Pelodiscus sinensis: one gene and its partners. The protein of the gene in region 3 interacts with the protein of the main gene of each other region in a pairwise test. Links are inferred from orthologs where the notes say so. Each region holds a gene or a part of one and is shown on either strand. Other genes may lie near its edges.

The links.
Region 1: the proteins of KIFC3 (region 3) and LENG1 interact in binary tests that used the Homo sapiens proteins (3 or more experiments, as listed by UniProt). The two-hybrid records come from large-scale screens. The link is inferred for Pelodiscus sinensis from reciprocal best matches to the Homo sapiens genes KIFC3 and LENG1.
Region 2: the proteins of KIFC3 (region 3) and USP2 interact in binary tests that used the Homo sapiens proteins (3 or more experiments, as listed by UniProt). The two-hybrid records come from large-scale screens. The link is inferred for Pelodiscus sinensis from reciprocal best matches to the Homo sapiens genes KIFC3 and USP2.

The regions. Positions count from the first base shown.
Region 1 is NW_027465849.1:4,029,856-4,037,888, forward strand, and holds the start of LENG1 (leukocyte receptor cluster member 1), read left to right. Parts: upstream 1-4,973; 5' UTR 4,974-5,058; coding exon 5,059-5,190; intron 5,191-5,892; coding exon 5,893-6,075; intron 6,076-6,554; coding exon 6,555-6,808; intron 6,809-7,153; coding exon 7,154-7,370; 3' UTR 7,371-8,033. Other genes in the region: voltage-gated chloride channel TMC4, read left to right, coding at 42-172, 708-863, 1,158-1,236, 1,922-1,972.
Region 2 is NC_134736.1:5,827,464-5,835,270, forward strand, and holds the start of USP2 (ubiquitin carboxyl-terminal hydrolase 2), read left to right. Parts: upstream 1-4,747; 5' UTR 4,748-4,898; intron 4,899-7,807. Other genes in the region: THY1 (thy-1 membrane glycoprotein), read left to right, coding at 2,133-2,245. UniProt on the Homo sapiens protein: Hydrolase that deubiquitinates polyubiquitinated target proteins such as MDM2, MDM4 and CCND1. Isoform 1 and isoform 4 possess both ubiquitin-specific peptidase and isopeptidase activities.
Region 3 is NC_134722.1:45,848,893-45,856,776, reverse strand, and holds the start of KIFC3 (kinesin-like protein KIFC3), read left to right. Parts: upstream 1-4,777; 5' UTR 4,778-4,912; intron 4,913-7,884. UniProt on the Homo sapiens protein: Minus-end microtubule-dependent motor protein. Involved in apically targeted transport. Required for zonula adherens maintenance.

The DNA of each region.
Region 1 (8,033 bases), on a different chromosome or scaffold from region 3:
GGCTCATGGCCCCAGGCCCACGTGTCTCCCTCCGCCCCCAGTTCACCCTGTTCTCGAACTGCCGCCCGGCCGACCGCACCTTCCGCGCCTCCAGCTCCAGCTTCTTCTTCCTGCTGGTTCTGCTGCTGGGCCTGGCCATCTCCTGGGTGCCCGTCCTCTACAGCGTCTTTGTGTGAGTGCCCTCCCCCGGCCCTGTTCCCACAGTTCTCTGGGGTCTCCACCCCCCCTCAGCTCCCTGGGGTCCCTGCCCCCCCTTGCCTAGCCCCCCTGGCAAGGTCCCCCACCTCCTCCCCAGCTTCCTGGGGCCCCCACCCTCTCATCTGGTCCCTGGGTCCCTGCCCCCCCTTGCCTAGCCCCCCCTGCAAGGTCCCCCACCCCCTCCCCAGCTTCCTGGGGCCCCCACCCCCTCATCTGGTCCCAAGATTTCCCCGCAGCTCCATGGGGTTCTCTGCCCCCTCACTCAGCCCCTCAGCTCCTCTGGTTGCCCCCACCCTGAGAGTTCTCCCCCCCCAGCTCTGGAGTGACCCTGAGAACCTGACCCCTCCTGATCTTCCCCCTCCACAGGTCACAACTCCCCCCCTCCCCTCCCCTGACCATCCCCCAGGATGCTGCTGCTGCTCCGCCCCTGACCAGCACTGGGTCTGGACTCTGCTCCCCTCCCCCTCTGCTTCCAGCTCACACTCTCCTCCTCCCCCCCTCCCCCGCAGCCTCCAGCCCTCCCAGGCCTGTGGCCCCTTCCGGGGTGAGCCGACTATGTGGAGCATCCTCTCGGCAGCCGTCGACGCCCTGCCCCGCGTGGCCCGGGAGTTCCTGCAGTTTGTGGGCTCGCTGGCCTTCGCCGTGCCGCTCTTCCTGCTGCTGTGGTGAGGGGCCACTGCGGAATCCCCCTGGGCCGGGGGCGCTAGGGGGGATAGGACACACAGGGGTTCGGGGGGAGGGGGGCAGGTCTGACCCTGGACAGCAGGGACACGGACACACAGCAGGGCCTGTCCCCTCCAGCAGGGATGGACGGACAGACACACACACAGAATTCTGTGCTGGCTCCGCAGATAATCCCCCTTCTGACATTCCCCCCTTGCCAGGTCCCTGCCTCACGGCCCCTACCCCCCATCTCTCACGAGCCTCCTGACCTTTGCTCTTCCCTTCCCCCACTGCAGCATCCTCATGTTCTACCTGATGGCCCTGGCTAATTCCTACAGCCGCCTGGTGAAGGAACTCAAAGGGCAGCTCCGGCTGGTGAGTGACGTCAGGGCGCCTGTCCCCTCTAGGGTGGCTGGCTGGCTCAGAGAATGGGGCCCAGGGCCTTTCCCCTTTAGGGGCGTTGGCTCCCCTCTGGCCTCAGGGTGAGGACTGGCTGGCACAGAAGGGCGGAGATTGGGCCCCGGGGCTTTTCACTGCTGCGGGAGAGCCGGTTCCCGTCTCAAATCACCGTTAGCCGGTGGGACTCCCTGCTGCAAGATGATCTGCCTGGCAGGATGGGACACTGACAGGGATAAATGAGGAACAGTGTACGCCCCACTTCGGCCACTAGGGGCTGCCGTGGTACCTGCTCCGAAGTGGATGGGACGGGGCTGTGGCAGAGGCAGGATGCCAGGGTAGAGGGGCCCTCGGAGTGCCCTAGATGGCTGTACTTATTCTCTAGGACAGTGGTTCCCAAACTTTTCGGCATCACGCCCCCTTTTTGATTTTTGAAAAACCTTCACGCCCCCCCTCCCCCAAAAAATAACAGCAAAACTTGTTGAGCAAAAAAAAAAAAAAGGAACTGACCAGGGCAGCAAAACTTGATGGGGGGGGAGGAGGCTGGGTTGCCTCGCATCCCCCCTGGAATTTCTTCACCCCCCCCCAGGGGGGTACGCACCCCAGTTTGGGAACCCATGCCTAGGGTTTCCCCACTGCTTTTTAACCCTTTCTTCTCCCACAGGAGGGGCGGAATAAAGTTTTCTTAGTGACTCAGATCACAGAGCTGAGTTAAGGAGAGCGCAGCAGACGCCACGATTTCCCCTCCCGGAACAAGACAACTCCGCCAGCTGATTTGCGGAGGGTTCTTGACCTAACTTGTTGGACCATCCCTCCCCGGCCAGCGACACCGATTCCCTGTGCGCCGAGACTGCCCCCTGCTGGAGGGGAATGACAGAAACCCCCAAAGAGCCCAGAGCTTGTTTCTGTCCCCTCGCCCGACACGGCCCCTCTGAGGTGGTGCCCAAGGGCATTTATACAGAGACCTGGTGCTAAGAACCAGCTTCTCTTTACCACCAGCCAGCACCACTGTTCAGTTTCAGACAGGAAGTGAAGTAGAACCCGGCGCGTGACTGACATTCTTTCAGGAGAGGTGTTATTCCTTGTGTTTGAAATGAGCCCGGATTCCACACTCCATTCTCGTGTTCTCTTTCCCGCCCCGGGCTAGCCCCACATCCTCCAAACGGTGGACCCATGTGAATCTCCTGCCGCCAGCTGGCTGCAGAACTCCACTGGCGCAGTCCAGGGTAGCTGCGCTGGTATTCCCCAGCTACAAGACCTGATCCGTCTCCCCGTTTTGGCAGAGACCTGCGTCTCTCCCTCCCTGATTGGGGGTTTTCAGGCTGATTTCATCGTACACACACACCCAAACCCCAAAAGAGATACTGCTATTGACAATCATTGGCATTTACAACTAGGCCAAGCCCGAGAAACCCTGCGTGAGAACTTCCCAGCGTTTGATTTCAGGCCCCTTTCTAGGTGTATTTTGTGCCCCAATGATAACAATTTAACATCTTATAAAATTGTAACTTTTTGAGTCTCTCACACCTAATGTTATTAAATCACTGTGTGACGCCCACCCCCAACCTCCTGCCCCAGACATTTTTTAACCCTCTTCTGATTTTTCTGCAGCTGGGAAAAGTGGTGGGAAAAAGTTACAACGAAAGCACCATTTTTGGTTGAAATTAAAAAGTAAAAATAGAATGCTACTTGGTCAAAGGGTAAGTAATCAAGGTGGCCACGGGGGGGGGGGGGGGGGGGGGAGGCCTGGTGTGCAGGGCTCAGAAAAGGGCAACAAAAAGGATCGAGCATTTGGAATGGGTCCCATATAGAATCATAGAATCATAGGACTGGAAGGGACCTCGAGAGGTCATCGAGTCCAGCCCCCTGCCCTCAAGGCAGGATCAAGCTCCGTCTACACCATCCCTGACAGATGTCTATCTAACCTGTTCTTAAATATCTCCAGAAAGGGAGATTCCACCACCTCCCTTGGCAATTTATTCCAATATTTGACCACCCTGACAGTTAGGAATTTTTTCCTAATGTCCAATCTAAACCTCCCCTGCTGCACTTTAAGCCCATTACTCCTTGTCCTGTCCTCAGAAACCAAGAGGAACAAATTTTCTCCTTCCTCCTTGTGACACCCTTTTAGATATTTGAAAGCCGCTATCATGTCCCCCCTTAATCTTCTTTTTTCCAAACTAAACAAGCCCAGTTCATGAAGCCTGGCTTCATAGGTCATGTTCTCTAAACCTTTAATCATTCTTGTCGAAGAGAGATTGAAAAGACTGGGATTTGTCAACTTAGAAACGAGGAGACTAAGGGAGGATAAGGAGAGGTCTATAAAATTATGACTGGTGTGGAAAAAGTGAATAAGGAAAAGTCATTTACTTGTTCCCATAAGAACTAGGGGTCACCAAATGAAATGAATAGGTAGCAGGTTTAAAACAAACAAAAGGAAGTTTTTCTTCACCCAGTGCACAATCTGTGGAACTCCCTGTCTGAGGACAAGGTTCAACAACTAGGCAAATTTATGGAGATTAGGTAAATTTGCTCTCCCCCCTAGTCTCTGTCAGAAGCTGGGAATGAGTGACAAGGGAGGGCTCATTTGATGATTTCCTGTTTTGTTCATTCCCTCTGGGGCATCTGCCATTGGCCACTGTCGGCAGATAAGATCCTGGGCTAGATGGACCTTTGGTCTGACCCAGTGTGGCCGTTCTTACGTTCAGGGCTAGAGGCAAGTAGTGGTGGGTTTGTCCCATCCATCCTGCTACTTCCACTGTTTCAGCGAGTGCTTGGTCTCCTGCCCTAGGGATGTTAAAATGAATGTGTTTATTTAGGTAAACATGTAACCGCTTAAAGTTTCATGGAGGCAGGAGCTGGCTTGTGCGTGCTGCCTGTGAGCATTGGCTCCTGCATGCTTGACTCCCCCCCCCCCCCCCACCTTGCTGCTGCCTCTCTCAGAAGCAGCAGTGGGGTGGATGGAGGGAGGCAGGTGGATCTGTGGGAGCTGGTACGTGTGGGAAGCAGGCTTAAAAGCTGGCTCCCACCTCTCCCCCGACACTGCAGCCTCTGATAAAGAGGGGAAGGGGGGGGGGACTGGGTGTAACTGTGAAGGTTATCCAATGAGCCCACTGTTCACATCTCTGCCCTGCTCTCCCCCCGGCTGCAAGGGAGGCCGTGTGATTCTGTGCATGCTGGGTACCCAGGAAGGGCCATACGGTGTCAGACCAATGGCTGGTCACCTGGCAGCGTCGTGTGACCCGGCTGCTGCCAGAGCTGGGGTGCAGCGCAGGGGGTGGGGGTGAGGGGAGGCTCAGGCTGGTCTCCCCATTGGTGTTGGGGGAAGGGCGGGTCCTGCGGCGAGGAGTTCCGCTGGTTTGCAGATGGGGCTGGCACTGGGGGGCAGACAGAGAAGGGGGGAGGGGGCGGGGGAGGACAGAGATGGGGGAGGGGGCCGGGGTGTCTCACTCCTCTGGGGGGGCAACAGCTCCAGGGTGGGGGAGGGGAGGTGTGAAAATGGGGCCTTGGCCCGTCCAATGGGCTACAAGGGGCTGTGCCTGTGTCCAGCTTGGCCCAATCAGAGCTTGGCTGAGGGGCGTGGCTACAATAGGCCAATGAGAGAAGAGCTCGGGCGGGAGGTTGGATGGGGACCAATCAGGCAAAAGGGGCGGTGCTGCGTTGGGTCTCCAATCAGGGAGCGAGGGCGGGACTAGGACCCGCGAATCAGGATTCAGAGCGGGGGAAAGGGGGCGGCTCTGGAACGCGGAGCTGACCCGGAAGCTGAAGTGGCGCGGCGCCGGGCGGACCCGAGCGGGGACCATGAACATCCTGCCGAAGAAGTCGTGGCACGTGCGGAACAAGGACAATGTGGCCCGCGTGCGGCGGGACGAGGCGCAGGCGCAGGAGGAGCAGCGACAGCGGGAGGCTCGGGCGCTGCTGGCCGAACAGGAGGTGAATGACTGCGCATGCGCACGCCATCAAGCGGCCGCGAGTGCGCATGCGTGACAGTGAACACTCGTGCCATGGGGTCATGGGTTGAACTATTTTTAAGCGTCTGGGGGGGTAAGAACCTGGGTTAAACCATTTCCAAAAGGAGTGAAAACGAAACGGGAGCGGGGCTGAGCCATTTCTAAACGGCGTAGGGATAAAGAGGCAGGGAGCTCTGGGATTTACCGTTTTCAAATATGGGAGGGAAAGCAGAAGAAAGGGGAACTGGGCTGAACCATTTCCAAAGGCAGGGGGAGTGAAGCAGACCAGAAGGGAGCTGGGCTGAACCATTTCCAAAGGCAGGGGGAGTGAAGCAGACCAGAAGGGAGCTGGGCTGAACCATTTCCAAAGGCAGGGGGAGTGAAGCAGACCAGAAGGGAGCTGGGCTGAACCATTCCAATGGGGAGGGGGGGTTGAGCTAAACCATCTTCCATGGGGTAGGTCTCTAATCCCACATGCCTCAGTGGATGGGGGGCTGGCGTGGCAGATGCTGCACCAGTAACATCACTGGCCCCTGCCCACTCTGCCCTTGCCCCAGGTGAGGGGAGTGCGTTAGGCCTCAGCCCCACGGCCCCCCAGATCCCCTGCACTGAGCTCATGGCCACCCGGGCCCCCGCCACCCCCGGTGGAGCTGGCCCCACACCCAGCCCCCAATTCGCCCTGTAGGCACGGACCGAGTTCCTGAGGAAGAAGGCGCGGCTGTCTGCCCTGCCAGGGCCCGATGGCAGCTCGGCGCTGGTCCCCTGCGATGAGGAGCCGCGTCACGTCGACCTCTTCCGGGACCTGGAGGAGGGCAAGGGCTCCAAGGCCAGGAACAAGGAATATGAGGAGGAGAAGCGCAAGGAAAAGGTAAAGGGGGGGTGAGGTGGGGAGCAGCACCTGCATTCTCTGGGAGCTCCACCCTGGCTTACGTTGCCCCCGCATAGCTGCATTGATGGGTGGGGGGTCGTGCAATAGAGTAGCTACACCTGCCCTGTTACAGGAGCTGGGGTACAGCTGAGTTTCAGATCCTGGTGTCTTGGAGGAGAGGGGATGAGGGTGGGTATGAACACAGCTCCCTGTAGGAGGAAGAGGCTGTGTACAGAATTGAGGGCTCCCTCTTCCCCCACAACATGCTCTTACACCACTAGAAGGCAGTGCTGCTCCATGCCCTGCACGCTGGCTCCCCCCATCCACCGGTTCTCCATCCCGTTGGCTGCCCTCCAGTTCCTCTTCCCTCGCTGCAAACACTCAGTCTCACCCAGAGCCATGATCGGCCCCACCCTGCCCCCTTACAGATGAGGCTGCCCCCTCTTCTAGGCAATTCAGTTCTGCTTTGTCCCAACCAGGAGCGCCAGGAGAAGGCTATTGGGCTGCTGACCTATCTGGGGCAGAGCGCCGCTGAGGCGCAGACCAGCCGGCCATGGTACCAGGAAGCCCCTGACCGTAGCCTGGAGGCAGCAGCTGTGACCAAGCAGGAAAAGCTGAAGGGCATGCTGGACCCGCTGCGGGAGATGGAAAGTCACCTGCGCAAGAAGAAAGGGGAGGGGAAGAAGCGCAAGAAGGAGAAAGAGGGGCCAGCGGAGGAGAAAGTGGCAGTGGGGTGAGCTGGATACCGGCAGAGCTAGGTTTCAGTGACCTAGTAAGAGTAGCACCATAGAGGGGATTCAGGGACTAAGAGTCCCAGCATGCAATGCTGCAGGCCACAAGGACTACACTTACCAGCATGCAATTTACTTCCCTTGTTCCCAGCTGCAGGTATATTGGGAAGGAGGTGTGGAAATAGAAGCCTACATGTCCCAGCATGCATCACCTCTCTCCTGCAGAGAGAGAGAGAGAGAGAGAGAGAGAGAATTGCATGCTGGGAGTTGTAGTTCTCATGGACCATGCGGCCAGCTGGTAGCCCAGGGCTTAGAGGTCTATGGTTGCCTTCTGCTTGTCCTTGCAGCTCTGCCTCCCTCTCCCTGGAGCAGCTGCGGCGGGAGCGGCTGCGGCGGGAGCAGGCTGAGCGAGCCCGGGCGGAAGTCCTGCTGGCTGGGCGGCTGGGGGAGCCACAGCCCAAGGAAGAAGAGGAGGCGGATGACAGGAAACGTCGCTACAACTCCCAGTTCAATCCGCAGCTAGCGCGCAGGCCCCGTGCCTGGGACGAGAGGGAAAAGCACTGAGCTCTGGGGGCTGAACAGCAGGCCCTGGGCACAGTGGCCCCTGCACCAGGGCCACATGGCAGGCCCAGCAGGGACACGGGCATCACAGCACGGCAGCCGGTGGGATGTCCCAGCACTGACTGCTGCCCTCTTTGCCACCCCCAGGTCAGGAAGGTTGGCTGGGCCGGGGCCTTAAGAGCCAGAGCCCTTCTCACTTCTAAAGGAGGGTGCTGGCTGCTCTGCCAGGGTCCCATGTTAGACTCTCTCCCCCCTTAGCACCCAGTGTTAGCAGCAGCAGGTACCAGGGGCGACCTGAATGCCTCCAAGGCAGGGGCTCCGGTCACATTTACTCACAGGAGGGGGGTGCCTGGCCTGGCCTGGGTTCCGGCTGCAGCGGTGGAAGAACAGTGCAAAGCCTCAGAATCACTGTGCTCTAGGCCCGGCTTGTGGATTTAGTGGTTGGGGGGGCAAGGAAGTCTAGCTCCTGGCTCTGGGAGGGGAGCAGGGTGTAGTGGTTACAGGAAGGGGGCTGGGAGTCAGGACTCCTGGCTTTCAAGTTCCACTTCTGCCTCTGGTTTCTTATGTCCCCACCCCCAATGGTGCCCACCATGCAGTGTGGCTGCTGAGGAGGCCTGGCCCTTTAGCTATGGAGAATAAAAGGTGGCTCCGTCCCTCCACTGAACC
Region 2 (7,807 bases), on a different chromosome or scaffold from region 3:
CCTAAAACCCCCGCCCACTCCTGCACCCTCCCTCCCTCCTAAAACCTTCACCTCTACCCCAACCTGCACCCTCCCTCCCTCCTAAAACCCCCACCCACTCCTGCACCCTCCCTCCCTCCTAAAACCTTCACCCCTACCCCAACCTGCACCCTCCCTCCCTCCTAAAACCCCCATCCACTCCTGCACCCTCCCACCCTCCTAAAACCCCCATCCACCCCTGCACCCTCCCTCCCTCCTAAAACCTTCACCCCTACCCCAACCTGCACCCTCCCTCCCTCCTAAAACCCCCATCCACTCCTGCACCCTCCCTCCCTCCTAAAACCCCCATCCACTCCTGCACCCTCCCTCCCTCCTAAAACCTTCACCCCTACCCCAACCTGCACCCTCCCTCCCTCCTAAAACCCCCATCCACTCCTGCACCCTCCCTCCCTCCTAAAACCCCCATCCACTCCTGCACCCTCCCTCCCTCCTAAAACCTTCACTCCTACCCCAACCTGCACCCTCCCTCCCTCCTAAAACCCCCATCCACTCCTGCACCCTCCCTCCCTCCTAAAACCCCCATCCACTCCTGCACCCTCCCTCCCTCCTAAAACCCCCACCCACTCCTGCACCCTCCCTCCCTCCTAAAACCTTCACCCCTACCCCAACCTGCACCCTCCCTCCCTCCTAAAACCCCCATCCACTCCTGCACCCTCCCTCCCTCCTAAAACCTTCGCCCCTACCCCAACCTGCACCCTCCCTCCCTCCCTCCTAAAACCTTCGCCCACTCCTGCACCCTCCCTCCCTCCTAAAACCCCCACCTGCTCCTGCACTTTCCCTCCCCCCCCCCCCCCGACCCAACAACCTACCTCAGCCTGCTCTCCAGTGGCCCCCTCCATACACTTGAACCCCTCTTTTGCCCTACCCTAGAGCCTGGGGGACCCCACAAAATCTGCTAGCACCAGGCCCCCAGAAGAGTTAATCCAGCCCCTTTTCTCTGCTTTTTTGGGGGGGCACACGTGTGAGGGAGAAGGGGTGTGTGTGGTGCCTTTCCTCCTCACTTGAGGGGCTAGGTCAGTGACAGTGGGTGGGCAGGGTTATCTTGGGGTGGGGGGGGGGTTGCTGCTCCCTTGTGGGCAGCGGCCCCTGACCCAAAAAGGGATTCCAACCCCTGGCTGAGATCTCGGCCCGTAAGCCAGGACTTTCCACCCCACTGAGTCTCCCTCCCCTACACACATTCCAAGGCCATCTGGCCCTCCAGTGCCCTGGGCCTTTGCAGACATCTCTCGGAGACTCTCTACCATCCAACTTTCCGCTGGGCCCTGGAAGTCCTAGGGCCACCAGCCGTGAACTGGGGAATGGGCCGGATCAGAGCCTTGTGCCTTTGGCTGCCCTTTGAACCTCGCCCTGATCTCTAGACTTTGTCCGTCTCCCAGCAGCCCACGTGTGGGCCGGGAGTGAGTCTCCGTGGACAGTCGCTCACGTCACACACAGAGAGCCCATCGGGGCTGGTATTCGTTGGCCCCTTTGTTACCCTGGCTCAGCAGAGGACAAGGACCGAAGGGGCCAGCCCTCCCCTGCAGGGACCCAGGACTGACCCACACCGGGGCAGTTAGCCCCACCTCTGCCCACCCTGATCTCTAGGGAGGGGATTCCAGCCCCTCGGGCTGTTCGCACATTGTGTGGTTCCCTCTGGGGACTCTTCCCAGCCCAGAGTGCCACCAAGCAGCCCCCTGGGGTCAGGAAGATCCGTCCGGATGGACAGGATCAAGCATAATTGTCCCCGAGGGGTTTCTTCCACTGCCTTCAAAGCAGCTAGTGCTGGCCCCTGTCGGAGACGGGACACGGAGCATGGACTTGTAGTAGGACCACGAGCCCCCAGGCGAGAGCGGAGCCCTCTCAGGCCAGCCTGGGCAGACAGTGGGAACTGCTCCCTTGCCCCAAGGAGCTCACAGGCCCCCTAGAGAAGAGAGAGAGAGTGGGAGGGGAAAGAGGCCAGGGAGGGGAAGGTTACGCAGCTGGCCGATGGCAGAGCCGGGCAGAGAACCCAGGTGCCCCGACTCACGGCTCCCCATCGGTCCTTTCTCCACGGATCTCACATTGCCTCTTCTCTCTTTCCCCTCCCTTCCCCCCTTCTCCCCCCGCCCTGGCAGACAAGCTGGAGAAATGTGCCGGCATCAGCCTCTTGATTCAGAACACCTCGTGGCTGCTGCTCCTGCTCCTGTCCCTGCCGCTCCTGCAAGCTGTGGACTTCATGTCCCTGTGAACGGAACAGGCGCCCGCACCGACCGGCCGAGCCCCACCGCCCAAACGTGGCCCTTTGCAAGAGAAGACGAAGAACGATTTGAAACCAAGGAAATCTCTCTGTGTATATCTCTCTATATATCTGTATAGCTACCGGTACCGCCTGCCCCCCGCTGCCATCACACCACATGTCCAAACCACGCTGGGGGCCGGGGTGGGGGGGTTTCTAAGCAGTATTAAAGGATCCGACGCATGGTGGCCTTCCCTTGCTCTCTGCTAGATGGTGCAGCTTCTTCCATAGCCAGTTTGGTGGTTTGTTTTCAGGGGCAAGGGTGCAGCTTTGCTTGTCCTGTTTTTTGTCTTTCAAGGAGGAGGAGACCCAGGGGGGCCCCTGGACCTGACTCTGGTAAGAGAGATGATCACAGAGTTAGGGAGCGAAGGGGGCCTTTTAGCCACACCCCAGCCTGGGAACGGCTGCTCGCTCTGGAGTGGAGGGGTGCCCCTGTGGATAGGTTTGGCCTGGGTTAGCCAACCTCAGGCAAAGGGAAAGCTTTTGGGGGGGGCTGTGCAGTAGCTTTTCACCCCGGGGCAGCTGGGCTTGACTCCTGCAGGGAGAATAATTTAGGTGAGCGCTTATTCTGTTCTTTAGCAGCCATCAGTCCCCCATTGCACCAAGCCATGGTCCTTGGCACTGCTTGCTTCTCCAGCGGAGGGAAGGGCCAGCATTAAAACAACAAGGCATGATGTTGAGTGGGCGGGGAGGGTCATGCTACATGGAGCCCCGACTGCAGCCACCACAAGGGGGTGCTGCAGGGCTCGTGTGGGGCGCAGGGCCGGACTGGTCAGAGGCACCAAAAGAGCAAGGAGCTTTAGGACTGAGGTGCCACTGCAGCCCTGCCCACGCAGAAAGGCCCATCGCTCCGGGAGCAAGCCCTCCCCCGTAAGATCAGAGGCTGGCGGTTCGGTTAGGAGGTTGGGGGGAGAGAGGAATTCGCCCCACGGGAGGGAATGCAGGAGACAGCGGTTTCACCAGAGTTCCCTGCACAGCCACTAGCTGGTAGAAACTCCTTGCTCAGCTCGCTGTGGGATTTCCAGGCAGAGGCAAGTGCCTTTCTCCCCAGCAAGCAGGAGGGAGCAGCTGCCTGCCAGTCGAAGGTCCAGCCACGGGCCTGGGCAAGAGAGGATCTACCAGGAGGGTGGGGTGCTGCCGCAGCCCACATCTCTAGAACCAGTCAAAGCTACTCTGTTCCCCCCTCCCGCGCTCATTAGCACACGTGGTTGTCTCCCCCTAGTGGTCATGGGTAGATGGCAGGAGCAGGGGCTGCCCCCAAGCGCCAGGCTCTCATCCCTGCATGCCGCCCTCTGGGTTTGTCCCCTGGTGCTAGTGAGACGGGCTGGCTCAGCTCCTTGCCTGGCCTGGCTTTCCTCCTGCAGCGTAGTTTCCCTCCAGCATCGGGCTAGCGCACGACCGGCCAGAGGGCAGGGGGGTGGCAGTCTTCCTCCCTGGCAGGTTGACGGGCTCTGGGCAGGCCTTGCCTCTCCGCAGGAGCCGAAAAGGCCACGACAGGTGTTTCTTGTGGCCAGCGGTTTGCTGTGTGACAGGCACCCCAGACTTAGAGTCCCCAGCTTGAGGCCAGAGCAGGGAGCTTCCAGGATGGAGGCCTAGGACTTCCCAGTGAAGGACTCTCCTGAGCCCAGCTAGCCAGCAGGGGGGGGCTTCACCTTGCTGTCCCCGGACATGGTCATCTCCCCTGGGCCGAGCCGCAGGGCGAGGGAGGAGCAGAGGTCCCCGGCCGGCCCCTGCTGCACACGTGGGGCCGTGGGAAAGCAGGAGGATGGGAACGGACCTGCGAGCTGGGGGGGGGAGCCGGAAGGGCTAAGGGTGCCCGGCTCTGGGGAGTTGGACCCAGCCCCTGCTCGGCTCGAGGGTGCTGAGTGTGAGACAACCGCAGTGCGGCGGCTGGCTCCGGTGAGCCGCTTTCCCGCCAGGCCCCCTGCTCGTTCGCTGTCCAGTGCGCTCCCCTGCCCGGCTGTCCGGCCCTGTGCATCTCCCCCTGACGGCAATGGCGGGGGAGGGGGCGGGGGCAGACCCAGGCACCCCCCACTGGTGTTTCCTAGTCTCGTTGCGTGACCATTTGTCGTGTTTCCACAGCTTGGTGTACAAGAAATGCTGTTGGGGGGGGGGGGGGGAGGAGGACCAGACCTCTGCACAATAAACCCCTGGTTGTGTGTTGGATTCCCAGCGCCTCCTTATTTCCGCCGGGGGAGGGGGGGGGCAAGAAGCGCTTTGTGTTTCCTCTCCCGGGGGGCAGCCGTCAGGACGGGCCTGGCGCTGGCCCGCCCTCTAGTGGCGACAAGCGGGACTGCTGGGCTGTGTGTCCTAGCCCCTCTACTGCCGGGGGAGGAGGGCGCGCTAGGGGCTCTGTAAACGGCCGCGTGCGGGCTCGCCCTGCCTGGCTGCGGCCTCGGCCCCTCGCTGCTCCCGGGAGCCGCACGGGCGGGGGCCCGAGTAGCATCAGGGGCGGGGATCCCCGCGGTCCCGGCCCTACGGGGCCCGCCCGGCAGCAGCCTCCCCGCCCCGCGTCAGCTGCGCCCCGATTGTGACATCAGCCTCGGCCGGGCCCCGGCGGCTGCACCAAGGTGACCGGCGCCGGCTCATCCCCGCCCAGAGCCAGGTGAGTGCGGGGCGGCCCCCCCCCCGGTTCTGTGCGCCCTGGGGGGGACCTGGTCCCCCTGGCACAGTGCCAGCCCCACCTGGGGGGGATCTAGGGGAGCCCCCCCCGGCACAGTGCCAGCCCCACCTGGGAGGGGATCTAGGGGAGCCCGCCCCCCCGGCACAGTGCCAGCCCCACCTGGGAGGGGATCTAGGGGAGCCCGCCCCCCTGGCACAGTGCCAGCCCCACCTGGGAGGGGATCTAGGGGAGCCCGCCCCCCTGGCACAGTGCCAGCCCCACCTGGGAGGGGATCTAGGGGAGCCCGCCCCCCTGGCACAGTGCCAGCCCCACCTGGGAGGGGATCTAGGGGAGCCCGCCCCCTGGCACAGTGCCAGCCCCACCTGGGAGGGGATCTAGGGGAGCCCCCCCCCGGCACAGTGCCAGCCCCACCTGGGAGGGGATCTAGGGGAGCCCCCCCCGGCACAGTGCCAGCCCCACCTGGGGGGCATCTAGGGGAGCCCGCCCCCCCGGCACAGTGCCAGCCCCACCTGGGAGGGGATCTAGGGGAGCCCGCCCCCTGGCACAGTGCCAGCCCTACCTGGGAGGGGATCTAGGGGAGCCCGCCCCCCCGGCACAGTGCCAGCCCCACCTGGGGGGGATCTAGGGGAGCCCGCCCCCTGGCACAGTGCCAGCCCCACCTGGGAGGGGATCTAGGGGAGCCCGCCCCCCGGCACAGTGCCAGCCCCACCTGGGAGGGGATCTAGGGGAGCCCGCCCCCCTGGCACAGTGCCAGCCCCACCTGGGAGGGGATCTAGGGGAGCCCCCCCCGGCACAGTGCCAGCCCCACCTGGGGGGGATCTAGGGGAGCCCCCCCCTGGCACAGTGCCAGCCCCATCTGAGGGGGATCTAGGGGAGCCCCCCCCGGCACAGTGCCAGCCCCACCTGGGGAGGATCTAGGGGAGCCCACCCCCTGGCACAGTGCCAGCCCTACCTGGGGGGCATCTAGGGGAGCCCGCCCCCCTGGCACAGTGCCAGCCCCACCTGGGGGGGATCTAGGGGAGCCCGACCCCCTGGCACAGTGCCAGCCTCACCTGGGAGGGGATCTAGGGGAGCCCGCCCCCCTGGCACAGTGCCAGCCCCACCTGGGGGGGATCTAGGGGAGCCCGCCCCCCTGGCACAGTGCCAGCCCCACCTGAGCAGGCTCTAGGGGCCATGTGGCCTTATGGCGCAGTGAGGCTCTGTGTCTGTCAGGGTTCCCTCCCCCCTAGGCCATGCCCTCTGCTTCCCGCCAGCCTCCACCCCACAAAAGCAAATCTGGCCAGGCCAGCCCCGGGGGGTTGTGCCAGCCCCGGCTCGGCTCGGCTCTGTATAAGCGATGGGCATGGGGCTGGGGCCTCGCTGAGAAAATCTCTTCCCCCACTCAGCCCCTGCCAGAGTCATCTGGGTGTTAGGGGCGTGCCCCATCCTGCGGGCGGGGGGCGGGGGACGGGGGAGAATGTGACACGGCTGCTCCCCTGCCCCACAGCAAAGGCAGGGTCTGGGCAGAGGGAGGCCTGGGCACGTGCCCAGTCTGCTTCATTCCCCCAGATCAGCGCCAGCCCCCCAGAGCCAGGCCTGCAGCCCCCCTGCGTGCGCGTGCACTCGTGCCTCGCCGCACGCGCACCTGGGCCGTGCCAGCACGCCCTGCGGGTGCACACGCACCTCCCTGTGGCCCCGGGATCCTCCAGCTCCCTCCCCCAAGCCGTGGGCGAGAGGGGCCGTCCGGCCGAGTGCCTGTCTCCGGCGCCCGTGAGCAGAGCTGCTGAGCTGACTGGGCCCGAAGAGAGCAGGCTCCCTGAGCACAGCGGGAGGAGAAACATTCTCCCGGCTCAGGGTGGAGCTGCTGGAAAAGGGGCCTTCCCCGGTGTCGCAGCGCCCGATAGATCCCTGGCATCGTCCCGTGGGCCCCCGAGGGATAAAAGCGGCCCAAGTGTTTTCCCAGCGCCATACCTGGGCTGTAGCATCCAGGTGAGGGGAACAGGGAGGGAAGTGGCAGCTTAATTGCATCCTGCCTCGTTACTCACAGGACTGAGTCACTGCCCTCCGCTGCTCCCGAGCAGCCCCGATTCACGCGGGCACTGACTTCAGGGGAGTTACACCAGGGTGACGCTGACCCTGGGCCTTCTGGCCAGGCACCTCCCTGGCTCTGCTGCCTGCCAGGAGCGGCTGCATCCCTCTCGCTGAAGAGCCCTGGAGGGGCAGAAGGGGGCGAACGGCCTAGCTTGCACAAAGCTCCCTGGGCCCCATCTCCTGCCCCCAGGAGGGCCACCCCACTGCTGTCAGGCCAAGCAGAGGGGGTGGAGCTCTCACAGAGGATCCCAGAAGCACCCACGGGTGCCATATGGACCCCCGGCCCCTCGGGGTCAGCGTGGGGCTGTGCACTGTCTGGGCTCCTCCTCACCATCTCCTCCCGGGTCCCACACTCAGCACCGTGGCATCTGCCTGCCAGGAGAGCAGGAGGGACCATGTCCCAGTCCACTGCTTTCCTGGGGAGGATGCTGTTCCTCCCAGACGGAGCTGGGCTGGGTGCCAGCAAGCAGCATTTCTGGGGTCCCTTGTGGGCAGTTGCCTGCTATTCATCCTTCTCCCCAGCAATCCTGTCTCCCCTCCCTTGGCCTCAACCCCTCTCTTCCCTTCTCCCCTTGTGTGGTTCCCCCTCACGCCAGCCCCCCTCTTCTCTTCCCCCCACTCCAGAACCCGTCCCCTCGAAATCTGCTACAACTCCCTTTTGCCGACTCCCAAAGCTTCTCCTTCCCCCAGTCCGCCTCCGCCTCCTCCCCTCCCCGGAGCCCCCTCTCCAGGCCGGGCCCGGCCCCCAGGACACGGGAACCCCTCTCCCGCGCTCTGTGCAGCTGCCTCTTTAAGCCTCCCCATGCTGGAATGCGAGAGGA
Region 3 (7,884 bases):
AGTGGGATATTTAGCTCTTGTCCCCTTAATAATGTCTCTTTGAAAAACTGCCAACTCTCCCAAACTGTTTTTCCTTTAATGTTGCTTCCCTTGGCTCTTACTTTACCAACTCATTGAGTTTGCTAAAGTCTCCCGTCTTGAAATCCATGTACTGAATTGTAGTTAAGATAAAGCACAATACATTTGTGCATATTGGGTACATTTGTTTGTATATTTCATGGCATACAGCAAGAAAAATGAAGGTGAGATGGTCCCGTTTGACTCCACAACCAACTCAAAATTAAGTACATTTTATTAATTTAACTTTGGGGGACTTTGCAATGGATTTGTGGCTGTTCTTTCATCTGTAAATAGTAGCGCTCCATTCATGTGGAAATCAGAGCTAGCATACAGGTGAACCTGTACATGTATAAGCACACACTCTATGGCTGTGTCTAGACTGGCAAGTTTTTCTGCAAAAGCTTTTGCGGAAAAACTTGCCAGCTGTCTACACTGGCCGCTTGAATTTCCGCAAGAACGCTGACGATCACATGTAAGATTGTCAGTGTTCTTGCGGAAATACTATGCTGCTCCCGTTTGGGCAAAAGCATTTGCGCAAGAGGGCCAGTGTAGACAACACGGTATTGTTTTGCGCAAAAGAGCCCTGATCACGAAAATGGCGATCGGGGCTTTCTTGCGCAAAACTGCGTCTAGATTGGCACGGACGCTTTTCCGCAAAAAGTGCTTTTGCGGAAAAGCGTCCGTGCCAATCTAGATGCTCTTTTCCGCAAATGCTTTTAATGGAAAAACATTTCCGTTAAAAGCATTTGCGGAAAATCATGCCAGTCTAGACGTAGCCTATGTGTGTAGCTTGCACCAAGAGGCCCACAGGAAAGCGATCACGTCTCAATAACAAATACAACGCCAGCCCTGCAACACTTCACCCGGCATGCATTCCCACCCTCTTGCTCAGCGAGGAATAGCTGCTATAAAGTACCTATCCCTATGGGTCTAGATCCTGGGGAGGCTGCATGGGGGGAGACTTTACTCTCTCATATGCCCCTGCACAGCCATATAGTATAAATTGAGCCTTACCATTTCCCTGGTATCACAGCAGTTAATTTTTAACCAATGGCACAAAAACTATGTAAAACAAAATAACCTATTTGCAGTTTTTAGAGAACAGACCTTTTAAAAATAATCCTACAGGTTTCTACTTTATACCTATTGTTTTGAGTAATTTAAATTACCTGGTATTGAAAAGCGTGGTGAGATGTAGAGACATACACTTTCTGTTGCAGCAGTACATGATATCTGCTATTACAGTGTTTTGGTCTCATTAACAGGTTACACTTGGGAACTTTAGACATAAAAGCTGAAGAATGATGCTGTACTATAATAGCTTGTTTACACTGCTGATTAACAGTAACAGGCAACCAGTAATAATTACTCGATGCTTGTAAACTTTTCTCAGGAGACACTAAATTGTTACAGCTGGTAGAAAATGTTCTCAGCAACATTTCCTAGTAGTTGTTGACTATCTTGACCCCTAATGGCAGCTGTAGGTATTAATGCCAATGCAGCAAAAGTAGTGTTACCTCATAGTTCTGCAAGCAGACCAATATCTAGTGACCAATATTTAGCAACCAAAGCAATTCAACAGCAATGCTATTTAATTTTGTTGGGAAATACCCTAGTTCTGATTGCCCATTTGCATACTATAATTATTATTTGCCTGCTGTGTTTTGCGTATATGACTTTGAATTTGTACTTGTAAAGTGTGATGTAAATAAACACCCATCACAGTTTTATATATTATCTTCTGTCACATTTTTCTTTGCATGGATATACCTGTTTCATTAACATAGGCAATATTGGCCTCTCTCTTAAATGCAACGAAGAAGATTTATGTGTAAATCCTAATATAATGCTGTGTTCATTCTGCTCAGGTGCATCTACATTGCACCCATCGCTCGAAATAAGCTATGCGATTTGAGCAACGCAAATTACGTAGCTTATTTCAAGTGAATTTCAAAATAGCTTATTTTGTAATTTCAAAATAACCTGCTATTCCGAAACACCCCTTACTCCTTGTGGAATTAGGGTTGCTAGGTGTCCAGTTTTTGCCCTGTCTGGTATTTCCTGTTTCCCTCTGACAGAAGCCCAGCCGGGACAATTTTCTCCTGCTGCATCTGGTGGGGATGGGGGAGTGAGGAGTGCAGGGTCATTTAAAGGTGCAGCACCCCTTTTTTTTCTCAACAGAATTTTTTCCCGGTGGTTTTGTGTGTGTGTGTGTGTGTGTGTGTGTTTGTGTGTGTCTGGGGGGGTGTTCGGTATTTTTGGTTAAACCTTCTGGCAACCCTATGTGGAATGAGGTTTACAGGGACGTCCAAATAGTGACCCCCTTATATTTTGAAATAATGGGTGTGCTGCTAAGACATGGGACAGCTATTTTGGGATACCTTCAGTATCCCAAAATAGCGCCACAGTGTAGATGTAGCTTTCTTGGTTACATATAAAATAAACCTCACACGTTTTCTTGCTTACAATTCATAATAGTTACCAAATTCCATGTCCCCACATCTGGAGATGATCTGGGCCCTACAAGAAAGAACTCAATGTGTTTCATTATACAGGCTGGATTTTTTTTAACCCTAATAGACTGTCTTGATGAACAGCATAAATCAGATTCTAAAACCTCATAGCAGAAAGAGCTTTGTGCCACCTAGGCCTTCCCGAAAAAACTTCCCCTGCGTCCAGACTCAAGCCGCGTTCTTTCGAAATTATTTTGAAAGAACGCGGCTTTTCTTTCGATGGCGGTAAACCTCGTTTCACGAGGAAGAACGCCTTCCTTCGAAAGTTCCTCTTTCGAAGGAAGGCGTTCTTCAATGTAAAGAGGCCGTCTTCGAAAGAGAGCATCCAGACTCGCTGGGTGCTCTCTTTCGAAAAAGCGGATTTCCTTTATCGAAAGATCCGCCTGCAGTCTAGACGCGATCTTTCGAAAGATGCTCTTTCGAAAGATGCTTTCGAAAGAGCATCTTTCGAAAGAAGCCTGCAGTCTAGACATAGCCCTAGTTACTATGTACTTTACACTGATGTGCATTTCTCAAAACGATCACTTAATTTCTGGCAGTAACATTTCCTGAATTGAACTGTGAGTGTTTTATGAGACTGAATTAATTTTCCAGCCATGACTCAACATCTGTGCAATGTAATTTACTGACTCTATTTTTCATTGCATGAAGTCTAGTGATTCAGACTCATGATACTTAGCATCAGGCGTTGGACTGCCCTCTCATTAGATGTACATAGCAAAACAAACCGGATGCAATCTAACATAGATACCTAGGATGACTGGAATAGTAGCTTTTTGTCTTCTACCACAGCTGTCTTCAGGAAAGTCTGTTTCAGCAGAGAAAGAATAGAAAGGTGCAGGAAAAATAGTACTGCATTTGAACAGATTAGTGACAAGCAGAATCTTTAGATCTGTCCTATAGATTGGCTGTATCTTTTTAATGTACTACTGGAAATGTGCTCTGGGGAGTCTCTGATTAATTCTTACTCCTACCATTTTCACTTCCAAAATAAAACAAAAAATCCATTAATTAGCTAATTTAATAATACTTCAAGATATATTGCACAATCTGTAGCTAAGGCACTTGACACACCTGATTCACTGTTGGTTCTGGGAAAGCATTGTCAGGCACAGAAAACTGCTGCTGTTCATCTATGAAGGTGCTTTCTAGCACATCACTAAAAGACTTAAGGATAATTGTTTGAGGCTAGAGAGGAGACTGCATGAATTGCTATTTAGAAAAGTGTGGTCTCAAGCTGGTATTTGTGAAAATGTCTTGAAGTGAATTAATCTGGCCCTGGTCTACACTTGGGCATTATTTTGAAATAACCCCTTTAGGTCAAATTTACAGGAGGCCCCACGAGATGCGACCGCCCGAGTTCCGACCCCCCACATTTACAACCATTTTTGTAAGTGTGGAAGGGGCCGGAAACCACCGACTTACGTCCTTAGCCTGCATTTACGACGGCGCACGGTGCCTGCTGTAAATGCAGGTTCGAGTTACGACGCCCCCGACTTGCAATGCTTCCTCCGGAACGAATCGCGTCGCAAGTTGGGGGCTTCCTATATAAGCAGAGAGTCCATACTACCAAGCCTATTATTTTGAAATAATTGGCCATTTATTTTGAAATGTGCATTCCTGCTTTCCTGGGGGAATAATGCTAATTTCAAAAGAGTTATTTCAAAATAGCATTCGTGTGGACACTCTGGTGCTGCTATTTCAAAATAACTCCTCCCCAGAGGCATTCAAATGAATTACTCCCCAGTGCTTCCTGGGGCTCCGAGACGAGGTAGCATGTCCACATTAACAGAGCCTGCCTCGGACTAATTTCGAGGCTTCCTCGTAGTGGGAATGCTATTTTGATTTTTGTAAAATTGGGAGTTAAGTCAAATGTAATCATTTCGAAATAATTTCCTACTGTAGACATGCCCCTAGTAATCAAATTGCCCTCTCAGGGCTGGGTCCTTTCACATCAGAATTGGAATATATCTCTATGGTATTACGGCACAGGCTTACACTTGCCATATCTTGCTCTCCTTGTTAACCTTTTTTCTGGGAGTGCTTCATAAGCAGAAGCCCTCATTAGTTTATGCCATGAAACATTAATGACCTATTGGATGAACTGTGTATTCTTCCTCAGGGCGATATCTGATTTCGTGGTTCCTAGGCAGCCATCAGAGCTGGCATGAAGCTGGGACTATGCTGTACAGGCATGCATGTCTGACACGTTGTTTAGCAGGGATAGAGAAGAAACGGACATGGTATAGTGCACAGATCTAGAGCATTAAGACTAATCAGTGGTCATATACAAGAGATCCTGTTTCAGAGGAGTTTGAAAAATTAGACAAAATTAAAAGGTAGGTCACTTAACAGGAGCAGAGACAATCCTCTGAATGTTGCAGCTTTTGCACGAAGGCAGCTTTGTGATACGTTGCTTGTCAGTCTGTGAGGTTATGTTCAACTTCTGTATGAGAAATGTTATTTCGATACTAGTGTAATAATGACACGTTGTATAGATGAAGTGTGCTTGTGACTCTTTGAGTGGTTTAGAGCTGCCATAGTAGCTCCATGCTATCCTTGATACTGGTTGTTGGTGCAAGGCATGGTCACAGAAAAGGGGTCTGACCCAAGCATCTCTTTGTTCCAGTGACCCCCATCTGTTGGAATGCACCCTCGGGACCCTAAGTAGCCATCATAAGCTACCAGAGTCCTAAAGTTTGCTGATTTATGCTGTGGATTAAACTGGATTTTGATCCATTGGCCACCTGAATATGGGTATGCAAAGGTGGTCAGGTTACTTTTATAATACTCCCTTCCGAGTCCTGAGCTGTGTTGAATGCAAGTTGGCCATATCTTAGAATTTGGGCCACTGGGTTTAATCCATTCAGTTTGTGCATTTTAAAATGAGTATAAATGCCTCACAAGCAGCTTAATCTTTGTAAAGAGCTTTGATATCCTTGGATAAAAGATATTGTAGAGATACAGAATATTATTATTTTATTAATTTTATATAGGATTTGGCAAATCATATCTCAGCTGCTCCCAAAAACCTCCTCACAGTTGAAGGTTCCTATGCTGCAGTAAAACTCTAATAATGAGCTAGGCTGTAATGAAATGGTCTCTAGAGACACAGTCTCATTACAATTGATCTTTCTGGTGAGGATTTTCAACAAGGAGAGTTGAGACTTTAATTCTGCTCCTATCTGTGTTTCTGGATTAGGGGTTTTTTGTTTTTTGTGTTTTTAATATATATATAATCAGGTTGTTTGTCTGGAGAAGTGAGGGAGTTAAATTTTAGCCAGGCTTTTGTAGTTATCTGCCCAGAGGTTTTACAGTTGTAGGTTAAATATTTGCTTGGGGCAGAATGCCTGGCTAATCCAAAAGCACCAATCGCAGATGTATTTCGATTGTTGTAGATTCACTTAGTCCTATGCACTCCATTGGGCAAGTAAAATAAGAATTAACTTGCCTGACTTAACTGGCTTATTTCTCCTTATCTGAGAATTCTCTAAACATTTATGCTTAATGAAAGCGACTCCCATAGCACTGGCTCTGTCATAAAGTTTTGGTAATGCATATCAATTCTGACCCCAACATTCCAGCTAATGAAATTAAGGGATTTTTCTGAGCGGACAGTCACAACTGTGATGATTTTGTGCTATGAAAAACGATCTACTAAAAAGAACATTGAAACTTGCCAGACTTTTTTAGTGTATTCATTCAATTACACTTTAATACAATCCAAATGAACATTCATTAACCACAGCATGCCTGTCAATTACCCCTTTTCCCTCTTCTGCTCCAAATGGTCTTTCTTGTCTGACTGTTTACTGCCACGTAGGAAAATGTGAATTTGAGAGTTTCTTGACATGGAATTATCTGGGGTCACTGCAATTTTCAGCTCACTGCAGTGTATATGTACATTTCTATCACTATTCTGCAGTTTATATTGCAGTCAAGAATGCATATCTGATGGAACTGGTTCTGGTGAGTTCAGTTTGTTCCTTATGCAACACCAGTCCTTACTGTAGCCATGCTCGCTGTGGGACAGATGTTAAAATTATTTCCCACATTTTACTCAGTCATTGCTCAGGCAAGCTCTCATGACATACAGTGAAAGTTTGTCTGAGTAAAAACTAAGTAAAGATTTCAGACTATGGCTCTATATCATTATCATCAGTGTTTTTTTTGTAAAAAAAAAAAAAAAAAAGTGCCAGTACTCTTTAAGACCCAGCCAACTGTTAGCCATTTTCATTACAGAGGTGCCGGTACTCTCTGTTCTTTCCAGGTAAGCTCTGCGTACTGGGCAGTACCATCACAAAAAAAAGCACTGATTATCGTTATGTGGCTTGTGGAATATTTGTAGTGTTATTGCTGAAGTGAGTATGATTTTGTGCTCAGTAAAAACAACGAGGAGTCCTGTGGCACCTTAGGGTGTGTCTATACAGCAAAGTTATTTCGGAATAACAGGAGTTATTTCAAAATAACTATGTGAGCGTCTACACAGCAATTCCATTATTCTGAAATAATTTCTAAATAACGGACAGCTTATTCTGACTTTTGTAAACCTCATTCTACGAAGAATAACACCTATTCTGAAATAGCTGCTGCTATTTCGAAATAGCCCCTCACCAGGGCCATTCTAAGTTATTCCTCCTGGGGCTCTAAATCGATGTATCACATCTACATTAGGGAAGCCTGCCTCGGACTAATTTTGAGGCTTTTCTGCAGTGTAGACGTGCTATTTTGAAATAAGCTATTTTGGAATAACTATTCCAGAATAGCTTATTCCGAAATAACTGTGCAGTGTAGACATTGCCTTAGAGACAAACAGATTTATTAGGGCATAAGCTTTCCATTGGTAATTGGGTTTTGAAATTTTTTGTAGAAGGATGGCTACTTTCAAATCCATGACTGAATGCCCAGGACATCCTTTTACAGAAGAATTTCAAAACATGCTTACAAAGGGAGACAGCTGAACTGGAGCTCATTTGCAAATTCAATACCATTCAGGACCGAGTAAGGATCTGAACTGGTTAATGTACGACAAAGGCAATTTCCCCTCTTTTAATATTCACATCTCCATACCAAATGCAGTTAATGAGCCACTTCTACCCTGATTTGATTGGCTTCGTTAACGCCATATAAATACCCCTGCCTCTGTAGCTTCCACTCCAACTCATCTGATGAAGTGGGTTTTACCTATGAAAGTTTATGCCCTAATAAATCTGTTTGGGTATGTCTACACTGCCACACTAGTTCGAACGAGGGTAGCTAATGTAGGCATTCGAACTCGCAAATGAAGCCCGGGATTTAAATATCCCGGGCT